3 linked regions of the Callithrix jacchus genome follow. Each later gene encodes a partner of the first gene's protein in a complex. Links are inferred from orthologs where the notes say so. Each region holds a gene or a part of one and is shown in the gene's direction. Other genes may lie near its edges.

What was found. Proteins that work in one complex are often made in the same cells at the same time.
Region 2: MED26 (region 1) and MED13L share a complex: the UniProt entries of both Homo sapiens proteins name them as parts of the mediator complex. The link is inferred for Callithrix jacchus from reciprocal best matches to the Homo sapiens genes MED26 and MED13L.
Region 3: MED26 (region 1) and MED4 share a complex: the UniProt entries of both Homo sapiens proteins name them as parts of the mediator complex. The link is inferred for Callithrix jacchus from reciprocal best matches to the Homo sapiens genes MED26 and MED4.

What each region holds. Positions count from the first base shown.
Region 1 is NC_133523.1:15,189,276-15,195,199, reverse strand, and holds the end of MED26 (mediator of RNA polymerase II transcription subunit 26), read left to right. Parts: coding exon 1-23; intron 24-642; coding exon 643-2,298; 3' UTR 2,299-3,397; downstream 3,398-5,924. Other genes in the region: SLC35E1 (solute carrier family 35 member E1), read left to right, coding at 5,872-5,924. UniProt on the Homo sapiens protein: Component of the Mediator complex, a coactivator involved in the regulated transcription of nearly all RNA polymerase II-dependent genes.
Region 2 is NC_133510.1:119,301,835-119,309,493, reverse strand, and holds the start of MED13L (mediator of RNA polymerase II transcription subunit 13-like), read left to right. Parts: upstream 1-3,428; 5' UTR 3,429-3,490; coding exon 3,491-3,562; intron 3,563-7,659. UniProt on the Homo sapiens protein: Component of the Mediator complex, a coactivator involved in the regulated transcription of nearly all RNA polymerase II-dependent genes.
Region 3 is NC_133502.1:67,840,987-67,848,847, forward strand, and holds the start of MED4 (mediator of RNA polymerase II transcription subunit 4), read left to right. Parts: upstream 1-3,630; 5' UTR 3,631-3,667; coding exon 3,668-3,792; intron 3,793-7,861. UniProt on the Homo sapiens protein: Component of the Mediator complex, a coactivator involved in the regulated transcription of nearly all RNA polymerase II-dependent genes.

The sequences.
Region 1 (5,924 bases):
CCATTACCAAAGAGGCACTTGAGGTGAGTATCCCACACCCCAGCATGGGGGAGGGCAGAACGGGGGGCAGGGGGCGGCTCCAAACCAGGTCCTTGGGAACATCAGTCTCTTTGCTTCAGAGGACCAAGAGAGGCAGTGTGCCGTCACAGCATGTGCCCCACGATCATGGTCTCCCATGGGCACTGCAGGGACGGAGTGATGTTAATCCCATCCTGCATGCCCACTTTGTGGGCACGTGGGGGACATCGGGAGAGGTGTGCTTGGGGAAGGCTCCAGTGAGTGGCACCATCCCCAGCCCTCCACTTGAAGCAGGCCCTCTGTGCTGTCACCTTGGCAACGGCACCCTCTCACCCAGAAAGCCTCTCTGGCAGTGTCCTTGCAGTGACCTGACGGGCCACAGCCCCCTGGCACCGGAAGCACTGCCAAGAAGCCACCTGTGACCCTTAAGGTCTGGGGACTGGGTTCAGAAAATATTGTCACAAAGGGCCAGAAATCCCCAGAGGTTGTGTCGGGGAGCTGGCAGTTTAGGGCTCAGTGCGAATGGGGTCATTTCAGAGTCAGGGCCACTTCCCACCATTTCTGGCTCAGCTTGTGGGGAAGCCCCTGTCTTGAAAGTATGTCATCATCTCTTTCTGGTTGTAGGAAACACGGCTTGGGAAGCTCATCAACGACGTCCGCAAGAAAACCAAGAACGAGGAGCTCGCCAAGCGGGCCAAGAAACTACTTCGGAGCTGGCAGAAGCTCATCGAGCCAGCACACCAGCATGAGGTGGCACTGCGGGGGCTGGCAGGGGCCACCGGCTCTGCTAACGGGGGCGCACACAACTGCCGGCCAGAGGTCGGGGCGGCCGGCCCGCCCAGGAGCATCCACGACCTGAAAAGCCGCAATGACCTCCAGAGGCTGCCTGGGCAGCGGCTGGACAGACTGGGCAGCCGCAAGCGCCGGGGTGACCAGCGTGACCTTGGCCACCCGGGGCCGCCACCCAAGGTCTCCAAAGCTACCCATGACCCCCTGGTCCCCAACTCATCCCCCCTCCCCACCAATGGGATCAGTGGGAGCCCAGAGAGTTTCCCCGGCTCCCTGGATGGCAGCGGGCATGCAGGCCCGGAGGGCAGCCGCCTGGAACGTGGTGAGAACGACAAGCACGGTGGCAAGATCCCCATCAATGCCGTGCGGCCACACACCAGCTCCCCAGGCCTGAGTAAACCCCCTGGGCCCTGCTTGCAGGCAAAGGCTTCAGTGCTGCAGCAGTTGGACAGGGTGGACGAGACTCCAGGGCCTCCCCACCCCAAGGGGCCCCCTCGCTGCTCTTTCAGTCCTCGGAACTCACGGCATGAGGGCTCCTTTGCCCGGCAGCAGAACTTGTATGTACCTAAGGGCTCCATGCCCAGCCCCTCACCACGGCCCCAGACACTTGATGCCACACAGGTGCCGTCACCGCTTCCACTGGCACAGCCGTCCACACCCCCTGTGCGGCGGCCTGAGCTGCTGTCCAGCTCGGAAAGCCCAGTACGCTGGCTTGAGCAGCCTGAGAGCCACCAACGGCTGGCAGGGCCAGGCTGCAAGGCTGGGCTATCCCCGGCCGAGCCCCTCCTGTCCCGGGCAGGCTTCTCCCCAGACTCCTCCAAGGCGGACAGTGATGCTGCCTCCTCTGGGGGTTCGGACAGTAAAAAGAAGAAGAGGTACCGGCCTCGAGACTACACGGTTAACTTGGACGGGCAGGTGGCCGAGGCGGGCGTCAAGCCTGTCCGGTTAAAAGAGCGGAAGCTCACCTTTGACCCCATGACAAGACAGATCAAACCTCTGACCCAGAAAGAGCCAGTGCGGGCAGACAGCCCTGTGCACATGGAGCAGCCGTCCAGGACAGAGCTGGACAAGCAGGAGGCCAAGGCCAGCCTCCAGAGCCCCTTCGAACAGACGAACTGGAAGGAGCTGTCACGCAATGAGATCATCCAGTCCTACCTGAGCCGGCAGAGCAGCCTGCTCTCATCTTCGGGCGCACAGACCCCGGGGGCTCACCACTTCATGTCTGAGTACCTGAAGCAGGAGGAGAGCACCCGGCGAGGGGCCAGGCAGCTGCACGTGCTGGTGCCTCAAAGCCCGCCCACGGACCTCCCTGGGCTGACCCGGGAGGTCACACAGGACGATCTAAACAGAATCCAGGCCAGCCAGTGGCCGGGGGTGAACGGGTGTCAGGACACACAGGGTAACTGGTATGACTGGACGCAGTGCATATCGCTCGATCCTCACGGTGACGATGGGCGCTTGAACATTCTGCCTTATGTCTGCTTAGACTGACCGGCCCGTCAGCCACAAAGTGCATTCCCATCTTGCAGAAGCCAGGCGGGCAGGCAGGTGGGCGGGTGGCCAGGGCCCAGCTGCCTCCTGCGGCTGGGAACTCGGGGAGCCCGGCCTGGGCAGGAGGGAGGGGGCGGGAGTCATGTGGTCTCTCTGTGCACCCTTCCCTCAAAACTCTCCTTTTGTGAAATGCTGCTACCAGTTTACTAACAAAATTGCGAAGGAAGGACCGTGCGGAAGGAAGGACGGCAAAGTGAGTTCAGAACTCTATAGCAAACCAGCTATAAAAAGCGTTAGTCCCTCACCCCTGAAGAGGTGCGGACACTTTCCAGCACCTGAATGCTGGGACCTCAGTTGCAGGCAGGCACAGAAAACCTGTGGGAGAGGTTACCTTTAACACAGCAACAGAAGCACGCATCTCATCTCTCTTGCATTTCCTGTTCTTTAATTTGGCCCCGAGTGTCTGAGAGACAGTGGGCCATGCCACAGCCTCTGTTTGCCCCTACCCAGCCACTGTCAGGCCAGTGTTGTCCATCGTGTGCCAGAAGCTCCTCAGCTGTGGCGAGCCACTGGCATTGGGCAGAGAGGCCAGCTGGCTAACCAATATGACCCCAACTCCATGGGCAGCCACCTGTTTATATCTGGTTTCAGTTATAACCCAGTATTTACAGAAATGCTGCAGAAATTTAAGTTTTTTTGGGTTTAACTCCTCTTCCATCAGACCACCAAACAAACTTTTCCTTTCTTCCCCCCTTTCCTTTTTTCCCTTCCTGTACACATCTAGAAAACTTCACCTTTCTAGAGTCCCCCCTAAACAACACAAAAGTTACTGTGGGTGCTACTGGTTTTATGCTGTACTGTGGGGCGAGAGGGCAGACCTGTCTGTACGCTGGAAACACTCATAACCATTCCTTTAGATTCGTTTGCCTTATGGTTATTTGTCATAAACGCGATTTGCAAAAACAAGGAGCCTTAGTGAATGTACAGTACATAGACTTCTGTGTTCTCAGGACGCAGAAGGGAGCAACTTTGCTATTTGGTCCAGTAAGTGGACACCTTGTGATATAAATGTGGAAATAAAAAAACCCATTTGCACAAACCAGTATGAGAATCTTTTCTTATTTGGCCCTTCACTGCCAAATCAGCCCTTTCCTGGATTGTGGATTAGCCAGGAAGACCTAGACCCTCCAACAGCTGGGATATAGGGAGACAGGGTAGGGCATAGCCTTGAAATCCACCTGTTAGCCTGCTGCTGCATTTGGGAGGAACCTTTTATTCATTCAGGGGCACATTAAGGAACGTTTATCTTGTCTCACCCAGACCTGACTGGCGTAGAGAGCAGGCTCCATAGCACAGGTCTCTGACTACTCCCACCTCAACAAAGTTCTTACAAGGGATGGCCCAGAGGCTCAGAGCTGTGTGTGTGTCCGGCAGCCCAGCCCTTGGCCCTGGCCCTCAGCTGCCTTACTAGCTGGTTGGTGCTGACACCAAAAAAATGTTTCTCTCTTGGCTATGGAGTGGTAATATTTTAGTTGTCCCTCATCCCCAAAACTGTAAGCTAAGACTGGTTTTCTAGTTTCTCACTTTGGAATAGGTCATCTTACCTATATCTGCTTAATTTCACAAATGAAAAAACAGCTACATCTTAAGACATGCAGCACTACAGAGCAAACCAAAGGTTCCTTTCAGCCTGTAAAACTCCATTCAGCCCAAAGCCAGTTTCAGAGCTAGCAGGGATTTCTGGCAAAAGCTTGGTGCCAGGACACACCCCTTCCCCAAGAAAAGGCCATGGGCGGAGTGGCTTTGAAGGCAGGATGAGGTTGAACCCAGGCTGCCACCCACTAGCTGTGTGTCCGAACCATCTCTTCACTCCTATGCACATGTCCCCATTTGGGGGGTGAAAATACCCCAGAGTTAAGAGAACTAAAAGTATGTCAGTGGAAGTGTCTGACACTCAGCTGTGCTGTAGGGTGCCTGTAGTTATACCACTGTGCCCGTGTTTAACAGCTCTGCTGATATGTGGTGTCCCAAGGACGTGACATTGCTCTGATACACAGGGCACAGCTGGAGGATATTAGGGTGCAGAGCTTGGCTTCCTACCGGCATCTCTAGAGCTTTGGGATGGGCTGCAGCTCCCCCTGCCCCTGCCTGCAGGGACTACCACACCTGTCTCCATGTATCCAGGAGGGCCTAGGGGGGTACTAATGTTGCTACCTTTGAGAAGGCAAGGGTAAGCTAAGATACCCTACATTTGGGGGACCAAGTTGGGTTGCTGCTTTCTTCTTTGAGACCAGGTCTCGCTCTGCCACCCAGGCTGGAGTGCAGTGATGCCATTATAGCTCACTGCAGCCTTGACCTGGGATCAAGCCAGCCTCAGCCTCCCTAGGAGTGGGGACCACAGGCATGCACCACCACACGTGGCTAATTTTGGTATTTTTTGCAAAGACGAGGTTTTGCCATGTTGCCAAGGCTGATCTCCAACATCTGAGCTCAAGCAATCCGCCCGCCTTGGCCTCCCAAAGTGCTGGGATTACAAGCTTGAATCACCCTGCCCAAGGTTACTGCTTCTAATTGGACAAGTAAAAACACTGTAACGAAATTTTAACACACTCTCCCCGAAAAAGTTGGAGTCACACGATTTGGGGAACAAAATTATCGTCCTTGAATTAGTATAAGTTCATCTTCCTGAAAACCTCGACTGTTTTCCTCCACTGGGGCCAGGGGCTGGTCCATCCCTCTTGGTCCTTGGGCATCAGGGGTCAGGGCTTGGCACCTCCTCTTTCTGCAGAGCCTTGGAGACAGGTGTCCAAGGACGCTGCCATGGCCACGGTCCCGAGTGGCAGGGGAGCCTAAGACAAGTAGCTTCCCCATTCTGGTCTTCGGTCTGTGAAATGGGGATAGTGATACCTACCGCACGGCCTTCCTAGTATTCAGTGGAATGATACCAGGGCCAGACCCGAGAACTGCGCACGTCGCGGTGGTTTCCAGAACACAATTTCAGGGACCAGGCGCTCCGGGATAGTCCCACTGCCAGAGTTGGCCACGGGCGTGCACCCCCACTTTGCAGAGCGAGTTTAGCCCAAGAGCTTTTCACAACTGGTTTCTTTCCCCAAAAGGTCTTTTACCTTAGATGTCCGCCGCCGCCAGCCACTAGGAATCAGGAATCTAGTTAGGGGGTGCCCATGTACCCCTCGTCGAGGCCCTGATGTTTGGCCCACGCACAGACGCCAACGATGCGAAGCCCTCCTCACTCCTGCTCGCCAGATCCGCTCGAGCTCTGGCTCCGGGTCACCGGGACCGCCCACGTCTCGGGTAGCACAGCTTGGACCCAGGTCTGCGTCCCCTTCTTTCGCTTCCGGCCTCGGCTCCGCCCTTACCGGAAGCGCATCTACAGTGGGCGGGGCCTGCACTAGAGACGTGATGGCTGGTGCGTCGGCCGGCGCGGGGGAATGACGCAAAGAGTCAGCGACCATTGGAAAGCGGCGTCGACCAGAGTGCCCGCCCCTGCCCAGCCCCGCCCCCGCCCGGCGTCGGGCAGTCAGACGGGCGGGAAGAGGCGGCCGCTCAGACAGGATGGCGGCTGCTGCGATGGGCGCGGGCCCCGACGCGGGGGGCCCGGCTGCAGC
Region 2 (7,659 bases), on another chromosome or scaffold:
TCTTTTAGGACCATTGTTATATATGTGGTTCACTGTTGTCCAAAATGCATTTAAAAGCTGGTCTTTCCTATTCTACAAACTGTCCAAGTCCTTTGTTAATGTTTCAATTAGGTTTTGCTCTGAAAGATTTATTATTTTTATTTGATTTTTGAGAGAGGGTCTCTGTCACCCAGGCTGAAGTGCAGTGGCAAGATAATGGCACACTGCAGCCTCAAATTCCTGGGCTCAAGAGATCCTCCTATCTCAGCCTCCTGGGTAGCTGGGACTACAGGTGTGAACCATTGTACCTGGCCTATTATTACTTTTAGTTAAACCTAAACCTGCTGAAGAATGACAATTTGGTCCCTAGGTGAGTAGGATGAAAACACCTTTGGCCGGGCGTGGTAGCTCATGCCTGTAATCCCAGTACTTTGGGAGGCTGAAGTGGGCGGATCACCTGACGTCATAAGTTTGAGACCAGCCTGACCAATATGGATAAACCCCATCTCTATAGAAACAAAACAAAACAAAACAAAAAACACCTTCACCTCTGATGTAAATATGTGGACCCTGGATATGATGGACATCATACCCTGGAATTGCTTAGGTCTAAGTAACACAGTGTATGTTGACAGAGTGTTTTTTATTTTTATTTTCTAACACTTTTATCGACAGTATCCTTCTTTTTCTTTTTTTTTTTTGAATGGAGTCTCCCTCTGTTGCCTGGGCTAGAGTATAGTGGCTCAATCTTGGCTCAAGGCAACCTCTGCCTCCTGGTTTCAGGTGATTCTCCTGTCTCAGCCTCCCTAGTAGCTGGGACTACAGGTGCATGCCACCAAACCCAGCTAATTTTTGTATTTTTACTAGAGACAGGGTTTTCCCATGTTGGCCAGGCTGGTCTCGAGCTCCTGATCTCAGGTGATCTGCCTGCCTTGGTCTCCCAAAGTGCTCGCATTACAGTCATGAGCCACCTAGCGCAGCCATCAACAATATCTTAGAAGAAATTCTCACTATTGTCCTGAGGTCAGTGGGCCAGCAATCAGGATCAATTTTTGACAGATTAGGAAATGAGGCTAGGAGAGTTAAACTATGTTGATCAAAGTAATTCGATTAGAAGGATGGCAAAGCCAGCAGAGGCATCTTTCTAAGGAGTCTCCTGAATTCATGCTGGGCTCTGTAGTCAGATGGCCCTGGGTTTGGGCCGTGCACTAACTGAGAGATTGGAGATGTCACTGCACACCTCTGAGATTTACCTACTTACAGCCTAAGAATAATAACAGTATCTACTTGAGGTAGTTGTTCTGCCAATTATGTGAAATAATATAGGTAAGGACATTCATTGTTAACAATATGTTGCATGATAATACACATTACAACATGTTGTTCATGAGTCTCGCTTTGGCAGTATTTGTGGTAGTTCCAAAGCTCAGTTGAAGCGTCTAAGACTTCTTTCCTCTTATTATACACTCTCATCTTTCCCCTGCTTTCTACGGTTCCTCTATTATTTGTTTATTTTTTTTGAGAAGGGGCCTTTCTCTTTCATTCAGGCTGGAGTGCGGTGGTGTGATCTCAGCTCACTGCAGCCTGTGCCTCCAGCGCTCAAGTGATCCTCCCCACTCAGCCTCTCGAGTAGCTAGGGCTACAGGCACATGCCACTATGCCTGGCTAATTTTTGACGCGACGGGGGGATCTTGCTACTTTGCTCAGGCTTGTTTTAAACCTCTGATTAGGATTAAGGATTACCATTGTGAGCCACTGTGCCAGCCATCGACTCTTCATCTTTTACTCGACTCCACCTGAAACAGCTGGCTGTTGCATGTTTGGAGGCTTACTAGTGAAGACATTGTTTTCTCCTCCCCACATTTTTGGGGATCCGTTTCTTGAGGACTGGGAGAGCCTCTCTTCATAGCAGCACTCCTCGGGACTCCCAGACCACATACTCTCAGGAAATGTTGGTTATTGAATGAGTGCCGCTAAGAGGGAGGCTCCCAACACAGCCTTAACACAGCGCCTGGAAGTTATAACAGATTCTGGCACTATAGCAGGAGCTCAGGAAACAAGCAATGAATGAATGAATGAGTGCACACAGTAACTAGGAGTAAGGGTTCAATAAACATTTCCGTATTAAACGCACAGTGCCTGGAACACAGTGAGCGCTTACTCTACGGCAGCCGTGAATATCCCTGGGCGAAGCCTGTGAAACCTAGTCCAAGAGCTTGGCTTTACTGTGCGCGGGTTCGAATCCGGACTCCTCTTTCCCAGGTGTGCGATCTCGGGCAAGTGACTTAATCCCTTTGTGCTTCAGTTTTCTCCTCTCTAAAAGGCGGACCGCGGCGCGAGCCTTCGAGGACACACTCCCCAGAGCACTGGGACCCCCTGCCTGGCCCACTGAGCGGCCGCCGCGCCACGCCAGCCGGCCTGGAGAGCGGGGACACAGGCCTGGGGACCCTCGCCCTCCGCCGTGGCCGCCCCGGGTACGCCCGGGACCCATGGTCCCGCCCCGCCACGATCCGTGCACCGCGAGGGGGTGGGGCGGCCACGCGGGGCAGCCCACGGTAGCCACAGGCCGGCAGTCCATGGCCCGCCGGGAGCCCGGCCGCCCGCACTTCTTTCTCTCCCTTTCCGTCTCCCTCCCTCCCTCCCTCTTCCCGGCCTGAGGACCCGGCCGCGCTCGGCTCAGCAGCGCCTCCCGCGAGCCGCCACCGCCGCCGCCACTCCGGACCCCTCCCCCGCCCGCCTCCTGCTCCCCCCGCGCGGCCGGCGCCCGTCACGTGACCCGGCGCCAGCCAATGGCGGGCCGAGCCGCGGTCGGCGGCCGCCATTGCTGTCAGAGCGAGCTAGCCCGGGGAGGGAGGAGAAGCGAGGCTGACTGGGGAGGAGGGGGGGGTGGGGAGGAAGAGGAAGGAGGGGACGTCGCTCGGCTGCCGGGGTCGCCCGCTGGCTTCGTCCGCACCCCCCCCTTCGCGAGTTCGCGCTCCGCGGCGGCGGCGGCTCCGAGGCGGCGGCGGCGGCTCCGGGGCTCGCCTCCCCTCGCGCGCCGGCGGGGGCCGAGGGGGAGTCGGTGGCTGGAGATAAACAAGGCGGCGGCAGCGGCAGCGGCAGCAGCGGCGGCGGCCGAGGAGCAGGGAAGGCGGAGGCGGCGGCCGGCCCGCAGAGCCGGCCCGGGAGGCAGCGGCGGCCCTGAGAGGCGGGGAGGGCGCCGGGCCGCGCGGACAGCGCCCCCCGCCGCCGCCGAAGCCGCCGCAGCCGCCGCCGCCGCCGCCGCCCGAGCAGGAAGGAGCCGCGCGGCCGCCGCGGACCCCCCCGCCGGCCCGGGCCCGCCGCCCCCGGCGCGGCGTCGCCGCGGCGCCTCCCGCCTGCCCGCCGGCCCTCGCGCCCTCCCTCGGCGGCGGCGGCGGCGGCGGCCCGGCCGCCCCGCGCTCCTCGGCGAGGCGCCGCCGCCCGGCCCGACCTCGCCTCGGACGCCTCGCTCCGACATGCCCCGCTCTGGCGGCCGGGCTCGCGGAGGATCATGACTGCGGCAGCGAACTGGGTGGCGAACGGGGCGAGCCTGGAGGATTGTCACTCCAACCTCTTTTCGCTGGTGAGTAGCCGGGCTGCGGGGAGGGGGCTGTGCCGGGGAGGGGGGGTCCCCGACCTCCGCCGCCGACCAACTTTCTCCTCCCGCCGCCGGGACTTCGCCCCTCCCTCGCGTCTCCCCGCTGTTCGCCTCTCGCCGATTCTCCCCCTTTTGGATCGTCTCTCCCTCGCCTTGGATCTCATCCAGTGTTTATTTGGCTCTTTAAAAATCATTTGTGAGCGCGGCGCTCGGCGTGGAATTTGCATGTGGAAGTCTCAGAGCTGCGGATTCTGGGTCGCACTTCGAACGCCCACCCTCTGTTGCAATCGCACTCCCCTTCTCCTCCCCTTTCCCCCTTTTTCCCCCCTAAATGTGGAAGGCTTTGCCTTGTGCTGCCCGCGCCTCCGATCGGCAACCTCTTCCCCCCTTGTCGAATCGGGCTGCCTGCCCGCCCGCCTGCCTTTTGAATTTTTTTAAATTCCATAATGACACCTGCAATTCCGCCCGAAAACAGTTGATTGAATGCGATTGTGTCAGGAAAGGACTCTTGCACCCGAAGCTCCCGCGATTGTAAACATCGACAGCCGCCTGCCTCTCGGGGCTTACTACAGTGGAGAGCCGTAAAGCCATTGCACCGAGCCGACGGAAGGTGGAGAAAGCTTTTTCTTTCTCTCCTCCGGTGTCTTTTTAAAAACTGTTTTCTCTATCCTAACAACGAATCGACACACACACAAAAAAGCAACAAGCTGGGCGGTTTGATAACATCGCTTTTATCTGCCTTCGCCTCTCGCGCTCTCTCTCTGATAATTGACAACTTTTCCTTCGGATTTGAATCGCCTGCCTTAATCTTGAAGCAGTTAGGGTGTCAATTGTTCTCGTGGAAGCCTGGCACCCGCCGACGGCGTCTAGATTCATCGAAATTAAAAATGTATAGGGACCCAGCAACTCTTTCCTGGCGGTGGCAGTGACATTTGGTGGTAAATGCCATCTTTGCTTTTTATTGGGTCGTATTACCTCTGAAAACATTCACGTTGTTAAATCTGGCGTTTAGGCTAATAATTGCAGTGCGTGGTCTTTAAATATGTGCTTTGTGCATGAGTTACTGTATGTATAGCTATGTGCCCGGGAGAGTACGAATTTGTTTAAATATTGAGCGAAGATTTGTAAACAGATGTAAGGCAATTACGTTTCAAGCGTAGAATATAATTGGAAAATTGGCTGAACGGTTTATTTAATTTAGCCTTAAAAACACCCAACTTACTTTAAGTTGTGTACCCTGGTTTTTTTTTGGGTGGGGGAGGTGAGTCCTTTTTGGAGAGCATGCATTTTGGAAATTATTTTCTGTAACCCCCGCTGTAGATAGAAGCATTATTTCCCTCTTAATCCTTGTTTACACTGGATAAATAATTTAGTGTTCAAATTGTAATTAGTTACATTTAATTATGGGTGGCATGGATGCTTTTTTTCTATGAGACTAATGGCGAAATGCAAATTCTTGCCAACTTTCCAAACGTGTTATTTTATTAAACGTGTTACAGTATTTATGCAGATCAAAAAACCAACACGTGATTTTTACCTACAAAGACCCAGTGATACATTATTATTGCTCCCGCTCTAGTAAGATCAGGTAAATTTTATGAAATATTTTAATCCAGATATTTAATCTCAAAATTCAATTATAAGTTGTAACTCTTTCTCTTAGTATTGTAATAATTTTCCCTTGATCTTTTGGTATGTAGGAGTGAAACCTCTTTTGCCTCTTTTCCCTCCTCAGTCTGTCATTTAGTATCAGTCAGGTTCAGGGACTTTCATAGATTGGCAAAACATACTGATCAAAGTGTATTTAAAATGGTTTTTGTGTGGTGACTGGTGACCACAGTGACACAGGTAATTACAATAAACAAGTACAGAGATCTCCCAAATTATCACATACTATGCTGGCTGGTAATGACTGTGTATTTACAGATTCTGTAGACAAATGAAAGTGTATGTATAGCCAGTCTTTAGGGTTTACCATTTGTTTTATCTTTTTTTTTTTGAAAAAAAAAAAAAAAAAAAAAAAGCTTAAGTAAGGATGATAATGGTGCAGAGATAAAATGCTTGAGATTCTTTTGGAGAAACCCATTTGTAGGAGAGGATACTTTGATTTTGACTGACTATAAAGGTTTGTGTTTTAGATATTTCTCCCAAAACCTCTTTAAAACCACGATTCATTTTTGAATCTAATTTTTTAAAGTTATTTTTTAAGTAGCAACTTTGAAATAGAGAACCATCGAAGTGCTTAGGTGATAGATATTTTTAAAGGAACGTGGAATGTCTTCATTCTCTTGTACATGAAGTGTGGATAAGGTGCTATTAAAACACTGAATTAATTAAACTGCTGACTTGTACATTTTTCCGATTTCAAATTGAGATTTTTTTTCTCGAAAATGCTATACAGCAGCAGCAACCTGAAATATTAAAAATACATTGCCTAAACTACATTGTATAGAACAGTTACTTCTGAAGGAAATATAATCATTCCTTGTTCAAAATAAAGCATGTTTTTTTATAAGAACACTATGTGTTTAATAATAGCATGCATTTTTTTCTTTTGGCCTGTGGGTTTCATTTTTGAGCAGAGGAAGGTATTTATAAAGAATTTACCTAGATACTCATATTAGATTGAAATAAGAGATTAAAGTTCTGTACCATGGTAATACCCACCCACTTTATATTACCTTGAGGTGTTCATTATGGCTTACCGAAGGTTGATTGTGCAATCAGACACCTTAAGATTTTTGCTAGTCTTTTACTTATTTTCTAATTTTTTTACTGCATGGAATAATATTTCCTAAATTAATTTTTCAACATCCATTCCCTTTTCCTAATGTGTGAAAAACACCATTGTGTATATATGATATGGGTCATTGTATGTGTTTCTTATTCTTGCTGCTGTGAGATTTGTAGCTACAGTATTAAATGCATGCTTGGCTGTACCTTTCTAACTCAAAACTATTTTCTTATGCTGTCCATCATGTTTCCCGGCGACTTTTTATATATTCAGTCAGTTAATCATTCAGTTAAAAGTGTGTTAAATCTGCCTTTTTGAAAAGTGTAACAGTATACTCTATGTTATGTTAACTCATTCTTGTGGGAAGACATAATTTCCAGATGTTACATGTATATTTATTTTTCTCTATTGAGTTAGTATGGAGAAAGTGATTTTCTACCCTATAACTATATTTAAGTATGTACTCTTTGATATGAGGGAGTGATCTCTAATTCTCAGATATGTGTGCTCCATGTTCATGTTTTATTGCTTAGAATCTTCCTGACTATGGATACCTGGGTGATAATCTCAAATTCTTGTTGAATTGAGACACACTAATTGCGTACACACATTAGTGTATAATTCCTGTTGAAGACCATTAGTTCTATATTTGAAGCTTTTAAGTTAATCTGTTGTTGACCTAATTTATTTTTGTCTTAAGGGGTTTGTTTTTTTTGCAGAAAGTGAAGATAGTTGTAAATGTAGAAACTTTGAAATCTGGTTTTTATTTTTTGGAGCTAGAACAAAATGGGGTGGACTATCAAATAGAAATGAGGAAAAGGGACTTGATTTCTCTAATCTTCAAGGTGCCAAAATACTATACACAGGGTGTTTTTCCTTCCCAATTTATTGTAATTTTATAATTTATGTTGAAAGCATCTTTTTTTACATGGTGGTTTATTTTCATTTTCTTTATATTTTGAGACGGAGTTTTGCTCTTAGTGTTTTGCTGTTATTGCTCAGGCTGGAATGCAGTGGCACGCTCTTGGCTCACTGGTAACCTCTGTTTCCCAGGTTGATGCACTTCTCCTGCCTCAGTCTCCTGAGTAGCTGGGATTACAGGCATGCGCCACCACGCCCGGCTTGTTTTGTATTTTTAGTCAAGATGCAGTTTCTCTGTGTTGGTCAGGCTGGTCTTGAACTCTTGACCTCAGGTGATCCACCTGCCTCGGCCTCCCAAAGTGCTGGGATTACAGAAGTGAGCCACCTCGCCCAGCCCTCATTTTCTTTAATGAAAATATTTACAATCTGTTAATGTATGTTTTCTGTTTAGTATTTTGTTGTTAGTAGCACGTGGTGTTACAGTATT
Region 3 (7,861 bases), on another chromosome or scaffold:
CCCCTCAGTTTCTGCCCCCAGTGCTAAATATGTTTAGCGCTATTACTTTTTGTTGTGAGTAAATCAACATTCTAGATTACACAGCAGTTGCTTGTCAACTCTGGGTGCCCAGGAGGAGTCAGGCTCAGCACCTCTAAAAAGACAGAGTAGAGGAGGAGACCCTGAAGTGAAAGGACCACAGGTCCTACTGCCTCATGAAAGGGAGGCAGCCCCAGACTGTCTTTTCTATCTGTAACATAGTGATAGTAACAGTACTTACCTCATAGGAGTGTTAGGAAAATTAAACAAGTTAATATTTTTTAAGTGCTTAGAGCAGTGCCTAGCATGTTAAATAAATAAAATTTCACAAGAGAGTAGTGTCCTTTTTGAATCTACAGCTTGAGAAAATGTGTACTTAACACTCCAAATTACCATGCATTCAGTAATATTCTATGAAATAATTTATATTGATATTTATCACTCCTGGATTTGTACAATTTGCAAGACAGTATATCTGTGCAATATATTATTACTTATCAGTCTATAGAAACTATTTAATATGTATATGAATTTGCAATAACTCTGAGGAGGTCAGGTGTTCACAATACACATATATGCTCCATACACTGATCCTCAATAACTGAAAAGTAGGACTATAATTGGTCATTTTTAACTGATTAGAATCCTAGAGTTTTTATATTTACACTAACATACTGTTCTCTCTCCCCCTACCAAGTCATGGCCCAATACGACCCTGTGAGAGTTCAGTAAACAAAACTAACACATACTGCAGAAGTTTGGCACCTTAGAAACTAAACATAAGAAATGATTGACTAGGGTACTGGGAGGCATGCTTAGAATGTAAGTGTAATGAACAAAGCTTCAATCTACTTTAACTCATTGCCTGAGAATTGACTGCGTTAACAAAAAAGGGTTAGCCAACAGCAGATGTCGGGAACTGTCAGAAAACAAAAGGTGAGAAGGATCTCTTGCACTGTCTAGGGGAGAAGGTACCCCGACCTATGAACAGAAATAATTCATTCTCTTGAATGCAAATATCCCTATACTGTGGAGATACCAAGCCTCATGATTACATCATTAATTTTTAATCTATCCTTGTTTGTTCTGATCCAAGTTTAACAAGCAACATCCTGTGATAATATGGCTTCTCCTGTAGGTTTGTCTATGGGAAAAATTATGTTTAACACTATTACATTTCATCATGAGTAAATCAGCATTCCAGATTATGCAGCAGTTTCTATGAGTAAATTTATTTAACTTGAGTCTCTGAAAGAGTTGTCAACTCTGGGTGCCCAGGAGGAGTCAGGCTCAGCACCTCCAAAAAGACAGAGTAGAGGATGAGCCCCTGAAGTGAAAGGACCGCAGGAACTACTGCCTCATGAAAGGGAGGCAGCCCCAGACTGTCTTTTATAATAGCAATATGGAGTCCTCATTCTCAATAGGCTTGTAACTTCGATTTTTTTCTGGTAGAGAGCGATCTTTACTACATTATTATCCCCAGGAAAAGGAGGCTAAGGTGTATTTTGCCGTTGACAACCAGTGCTGGTTTGGAATGTGTGCTACATCAATGACTTAAAACTATTTTAAGTTACTACCACTTATGTATTGTATTGATTTCTTCAGTTCAATAATTATCCTGAGTAATGAGCAAAACATTTTGTTGGAAGACGTATGGCTATAAAGATGGATTACAGAAATGTGGAAGCAACTCAACTGTTCATCGTCAGATGAATGGATAGACACAAGGTGTATACATACAATGGAATATTGTTCAGTCTTAAAAAGGAAAGAGATTCCAGCACAGGCTATGTCATGGATGAACCTGGACGACATTATGCTAAGTGACATAAGCCAGACACAAAAAGACAAATACTGTATGATTCTACTCATACGAGATACCTAGAGTAGCCAAACTTACAGAGACAGAAAGTAGAATGGTGGTTGACAGGACCTGGGGAAAGAAAGGACAGAGAGTTAACATTTAGTGAGTACAGAGTTTGTTTTACAAGATGAAAGGTTTTGGAGATGGGTGGTTGCTCAATAGCATGAATGTATTTAATGTCACTGAACTATCCACTTAATAATTAAGGTGGTAAATATTATGTTGTGTATGTTTTACCACACTTTTTTAAATGGGGGAAATTTTGATTATGGTTCTGTCCTAGGGTGCTTGCTACAGCCTGCAGGAGAGGCAGACAGGAGAGTTGGAACAGCAGTATGGAAATTGAGGCAAAAGAAAGGTTAACACTGTCTGCGGAGACCCCGGCCCATCTCATGAGGAAACTAACATAAGATGGAGACCATTATGTAATTCCCTCAAAGGCTTAAAAGTCACTTCACAGAAGCTTCTCATGGCTGCTTGAGAAACACTAGGCCCAGGGCCAGGCATGGGTACTCACGCCTATAACCCCAGCATTCTGGGAAGCCAAGGGGGGTGGGGGGGTGGATCACTTGAAGTCAGGAGTTCGAGACCAGCATGGCCAACATGGCGAAACCCTATCTGTACCAAAAATACAAAAATTAGCTGGAAGCGTGGCACGTGCCTGTAATCCCAACTATTCGTTAGGCTGACGCAGGAGAAGCGCTTGAACCGGAGAGGCGGAGACTGTAGCTAGTCGAGATTGCAACCATGCACTCCAGTCTGGGCAACAGAGTGAAACCCGTCAAAAAAAAAAAAAAAAAAAGAAGGAAGGAAAGAGAGAGAGAGAGAGGGCGGGGGGTAGGGAGAGAGAAAAGGAAGGAAAGGAGGAAAGGAGGGGAGGAGAGGGGAGGGGAGGGGAGGGGAGGGAAGAGGGAGAGGGATGGGGAGGGGGGAGGGGAGGGGAAGAGAGAGAGGGGTGGGGAGGGGGGAGGGGAGGGGAGGGAAGAGGGAGAGGGATGGGGAGGGGGGAGGGGAGGGAAGAGGGAGAGGGATGGGGAGGGGGGAGGGGAGGGGAAGAGAGAGAGGGATGGGGAGGGGGGAGGGGAGGGGAGGGAAGAGGGAGAGGGATGGGGAGGGGGGAGGGGAGGGAAGAGGGAGAGGGAGAGGGATGGGGAGGGGGGAGGGGAGGGAAGAGGGAGAGGGATGGGGAGGGGGGAGGGGAGGGGAGGTAAGAGGGAGAGGGATGGGGAGGGAAGAGGGAGAGGGATGGGGAGGGGGGAGGGGAGGGGAGGGAAGAGGGAGAGGGATGGGGAGGGGGAGGGGAGGGGAGGTAAGAGGGAGAGGGATGGGGAGGGGGAGGGGAGGGGAGGTAAGAGGGAGAGGGATGGGGAGGGGGGAAGGGAGGGGGGAGGGGGGAGGGAGAAGGGAGGGGAGGGGAGGAGGGGAGAGGAGAAAAGAAAAGAGAGAAAAGAAAAGAAAAGAAAAGAAAAGAAAAAAGAAAAGAAAAGAAAAGAAAAGAAAAGAAAAGAAAAGAAAGAAAAAAACATTATGCCCAGGAGAATCAGACTCTGGTCTACCCCTTGTTCTCGGTTCGGCTGTCGCTCCCAAGGTTTCTACCGGAAAGCCCTCGCTGGCCCAGCAGATGGCGCCGGTGTCCGCAGTGCGCCTCCAGGCGCACAGGGGGCGGTCTCGCCAGGGCTTTCATTCCTTCACTGGGTGACTCTTCTGCCTTCCGAGCCTGCCTACCCGCCACGCCCCTGCGTCAGCATGCACTGCGCGTGCGCCAGCGGCGGGACGGTCGGGAGTATGGCTGCGTCTTCGAGTGGTGAGAAGGAGAAGGAGCGGCTGGGAGGCGGCTTGGGAGTGGCAAGTGGTAACAGCACACGAGAGCGGCTGCTGTCTGCGCTTGAGGATTTGGAAGTCCTGTCTAGGTAATGGCTCGAGCCTTAGAGCCGGGCTGGAGCTGGGCCGGGGAACTGACCCCGGCCGGCCCTTGATTTGCGCTAGTTCTCTGCGCTTGGCGGGGAGGGCCGGCGCGGGAGTTTCGGGTGCACGATGGTCCTGGACGTGGGGTCCGCAGCCCTTTGGCACTCTGGGCGGCGGTTTTTCCCGATAGAGGGAATTTTAATAATGATAGTAATCGTGGAAATTAAGAAATTGCGCGGTCGGAGCCCCCTTCGTCCACGGCCGGCCACTTAACATTTATGGAACGCCCCTTGGGTGCCAGCCACTGGGGTCTTGAAGGGTAGGCTGGATGCCAGAGACAGACAGATGTGTAAACTGGAGTGGGGCCTGTTTTATTAGAGGGCTGCACACAGGCACCCTGAAGAAAGGGCTGCTTGGGAAGCATGAGCTGGCAGACTCACTAGGCAGCAGGTAGATGGAACGGCATGTGCAAAAGCCTGGCTTGGTGGGGTTGCAAATTGTTTGGGATGGTTGTGTGGCAGAGGTAGGAGACGAAATTAGATGTCACTCTTCATATTCTGTTACTTTTCATGATAAGTATCTCAAGTTGAAGTCTTCCTTGACTCTCTCACATTGGCTTGCGTGGTAAATTATCTTGGTTCTTCTACCTCCTAAAATGTGACTCAGAGTTGCCGTCTCGTATCTACTCCGCTGTTAATAACTGCTACTTAAATGCAGCCTCCCAGTTTTAATTGCCTCATGCTTCTGCACTTTATCCTTTTATATTGGCCGAGACCAGTTTTAAAAGGCATGTTATATCATTTTACTGCAGAAAAATGATATAAAACCTATATCGTTGGTAGGTTTGCATTGTCCAGTGAGGTAAAGTTCAAATTCCTTAGCCAGACTTACACATCTTCAGTGCAAATCCCAGTCTACCCTCAATTTGGTGGATGATTCATTTATCCTTCAGAATCCAGCTCAAATGTCACCTTTTCTGTAGCCAACATTCTTTGACAGCTTTAGAATAAATCTTATCTATTGTATTTTAAAATATACCTGATCTACTTATAATCGGCACTTTATGGTGTTAAATTTAGTCTTTGCCACAACATTACTACCAAGTTACCAGGTCAGCATGATATTTAATGATGGAAGAGAACCCTAAAACACATAGACACCAGAAATTAAATGGCTATGTGTTTAATCCACTGTTTAAAATAAACTGTATTAGGGCCGGGTATGGTGGCTCATGCCTGTAATCCCACCACTTTGGGAGGCCAAGGTGAGTGGATTGTTGGAACTTCTTCACAGAATGAAACTGCTCTGATGTGAATGACTTCCAGAAAAGTGTCGTGTGCTCACTCAGACATAGTTATGTGTACCGATTCTGTGATCTGTGAAGTTTGTCAGTTTCTGAATGGAATTTGTGTCTGGATTGCATTTATGAAAATGAGAAGAAAATTCACAAATGTACCTTACATATTTTTAGGTTGAGCATCTTTAAAAACAGTGGATTCGTAACTTAGGGTTTTTTTGTTTTGTTTTTAATACATATTTTATTGCGTTTTAGATTTTGGGGCACATGTGAAGAACATGCAAGATTGTTGCATAGGTACATACATGGCAATGTGGTTTGCTGCCTTCCTCCCCATCACCTATATCTGGCGTTTCTCCCCATGTTATCCCTCCCTGTTTTTTTTTTTTTAAAACTATTAACCTGATTATGTAGCCTTTCAGGATATTTATTACTTTGTAAAATGTAATTGGAGGAGGTAGTCTTTGGAGGAATTTAAAAAGTTGAAACACAAGTTGTAGCTAAACGTTTTTCTTTTTTCTTTTTTTTTTTGGGACAGAGTCTCGCTCTGTCACCCAGGCTGGAGTGTAGTGGCATGGTCTTGGCTCACTGCAACCCTTGCCTTCCAGGTTCAAGAGATTCTCCTGCCTCAGCCTCCTGAATAGCTGGGATTACAAACACCTGTCACTATACCTGGCTAATTTTTGTATTTTTAGTAGAGATGAGGTTTCACTATCTTGGCCAGGCTGGTCTTGAACTCCTGACCTTGTGATCCACTCACCTCAACCTCTCAGAGTGCTGGGATTACAGGTGTGAGCCACCGAGCCCGGGCACTAAACGATTTCTCTTAACCTGTTTGTAACTCAGAACTCATTGTCCCGCAGAACCATGTTGATAGGAGTCTTGAGATTTCCACACCAGCCTGTTAATTCTGTTTACCTGAAAAGTGTATTGCCACTAATAATGTAGGCTCTAACCCCTATGGAAATTTTATTTCTGTGGGGAAATGGGGCTGGATTCTAATGTAGTATACCAGGAATGCACCTTCTTTGTAGCAGGACAGGGCTCTAATTTCCACATCTTTAACCAGACAGAATGAGTGTGGGCTTTCTTTGGCCTTTTTTCCACGATTGGAGAGGACATAGGTTTCCATCTTGTCCTGGACTGTTACAGAACATGATTAAGTCTTAGAGACTTCTACCTCCCCTGTACTCCTGTCCCTAAATCAAGCCTTATAAAGCTTTCTGTAGACTCATACTCCCAGATTTGCAAGAACAGAGAAAGGCTTATCCCACATCTCCTGCCATAGCCCCACTCCAGTGAGCACCACCCTTACCCCACCTGAAACCAGCTTTTACTTAGACCAGAGGTTCTCAACTCTCTATGTCTCACTTACAGCATACACGAAAAGGTTGACATAACATGCTGTTTTCATACACCATTGATTAAATCCATCAGCCGGTCCTGTTAGCTCTACCTCCAAAAGATGTATGAAATCTGTCCATGTTTCTCCCGTCACCATTACTAAGTCCTGGGGCTAGGACCTAGTCAAAATCAGTATCTTTTTTTTTTTTTCTTTTTTGCCTGGAACACTACAAAAACCACCTAGCTTCCTGTTCTGGCCCTCTTATAGTCTGTTTACCAAATAGCTCAGTAGTTGTTTAAATGTATAAATCAGATCCTGCCATTTCCCTGTTTAAAATGATCGAGTGGCCTTTCATTGCATTTAGAATGAAACACTAATCTTTACCTTAACTACAAGGGGTGCATAATCCCACCCCTGGCTACCTGGCTGCTACATCCTCACTTTGCATCCGTCTCCCTAGTGTACTCTGCCCTGGCTACATCTCCTCAGATCCCATCTTTGGGCCACTGAACTATCTGTGTCTTCTGCCATGCTCTTTCCTCCCAGATCTCTTGGCTGACGTTTTTCATTTAATCCGTGTCTTATATCAAAGCTCTGCCCTCTGACCACCCTATTTAAGTAGCCAGCCTACTCAGTAGTCGCTAATAAAACACCACTTTATTTCCTTCCCAGCCCTTATCACTCTAGTTTTATTTCTTCTCTTAGTTATTCTTGTCTCCTATATTAGAATTTAAATGTCATTCTTCACTTTGATACCTTAAGTATCTAGAAAGTGCCTGGCACACAATAGGCACTCAATAAATATTTGATGAATTACTGAATGAAGACTTTGCATTCTTATATCTACTTTTTTCATTCATTGATTAATTCATAAATAATGGTATGGGAAAGTAGTAGTGGGAAGAAGGGTTGGGTCCAGTTATGACATGGTCCAGAAAAATGGTATGAGGCTAGCTGGAAGGAAGGTGGAAATTTGAAGGTAAAAATAGCCTGGTAGCCAGTGAGAAAGTACGAACACTTGGTCTGATCAGAGCAGTGTCATGTAGCTAGTTGTGCAGCTGCCCCTCCTGCATAATTTCTCAAAAGTCTCATCTATCAATAAGTTTGAAACTAATATATAAACATTACCTGCTATACTGTTTCCCAATCTTATTTTCCTGATCAGATACTAATTTTCATATAGGGAAACTGGCGTATTTATTAAGTGAACATTCTAAAAGGATGTCATTTTTTTATGTGTAAAAATCCCTCTTAGCTGATAGATGATTAATTTTAAAAATTCGGGCTGGGGAGTTGGGGAGGGATAACATGGGGAGAAATACCAGAAATAGCTGATGGGGAGGAAGGCAGCAAACCACATTGCTATGTATGTACCTATGCAACAGTCTTGCATGTTCTTCACATGTACCCCAAAACCTAAAACGCAATAAAA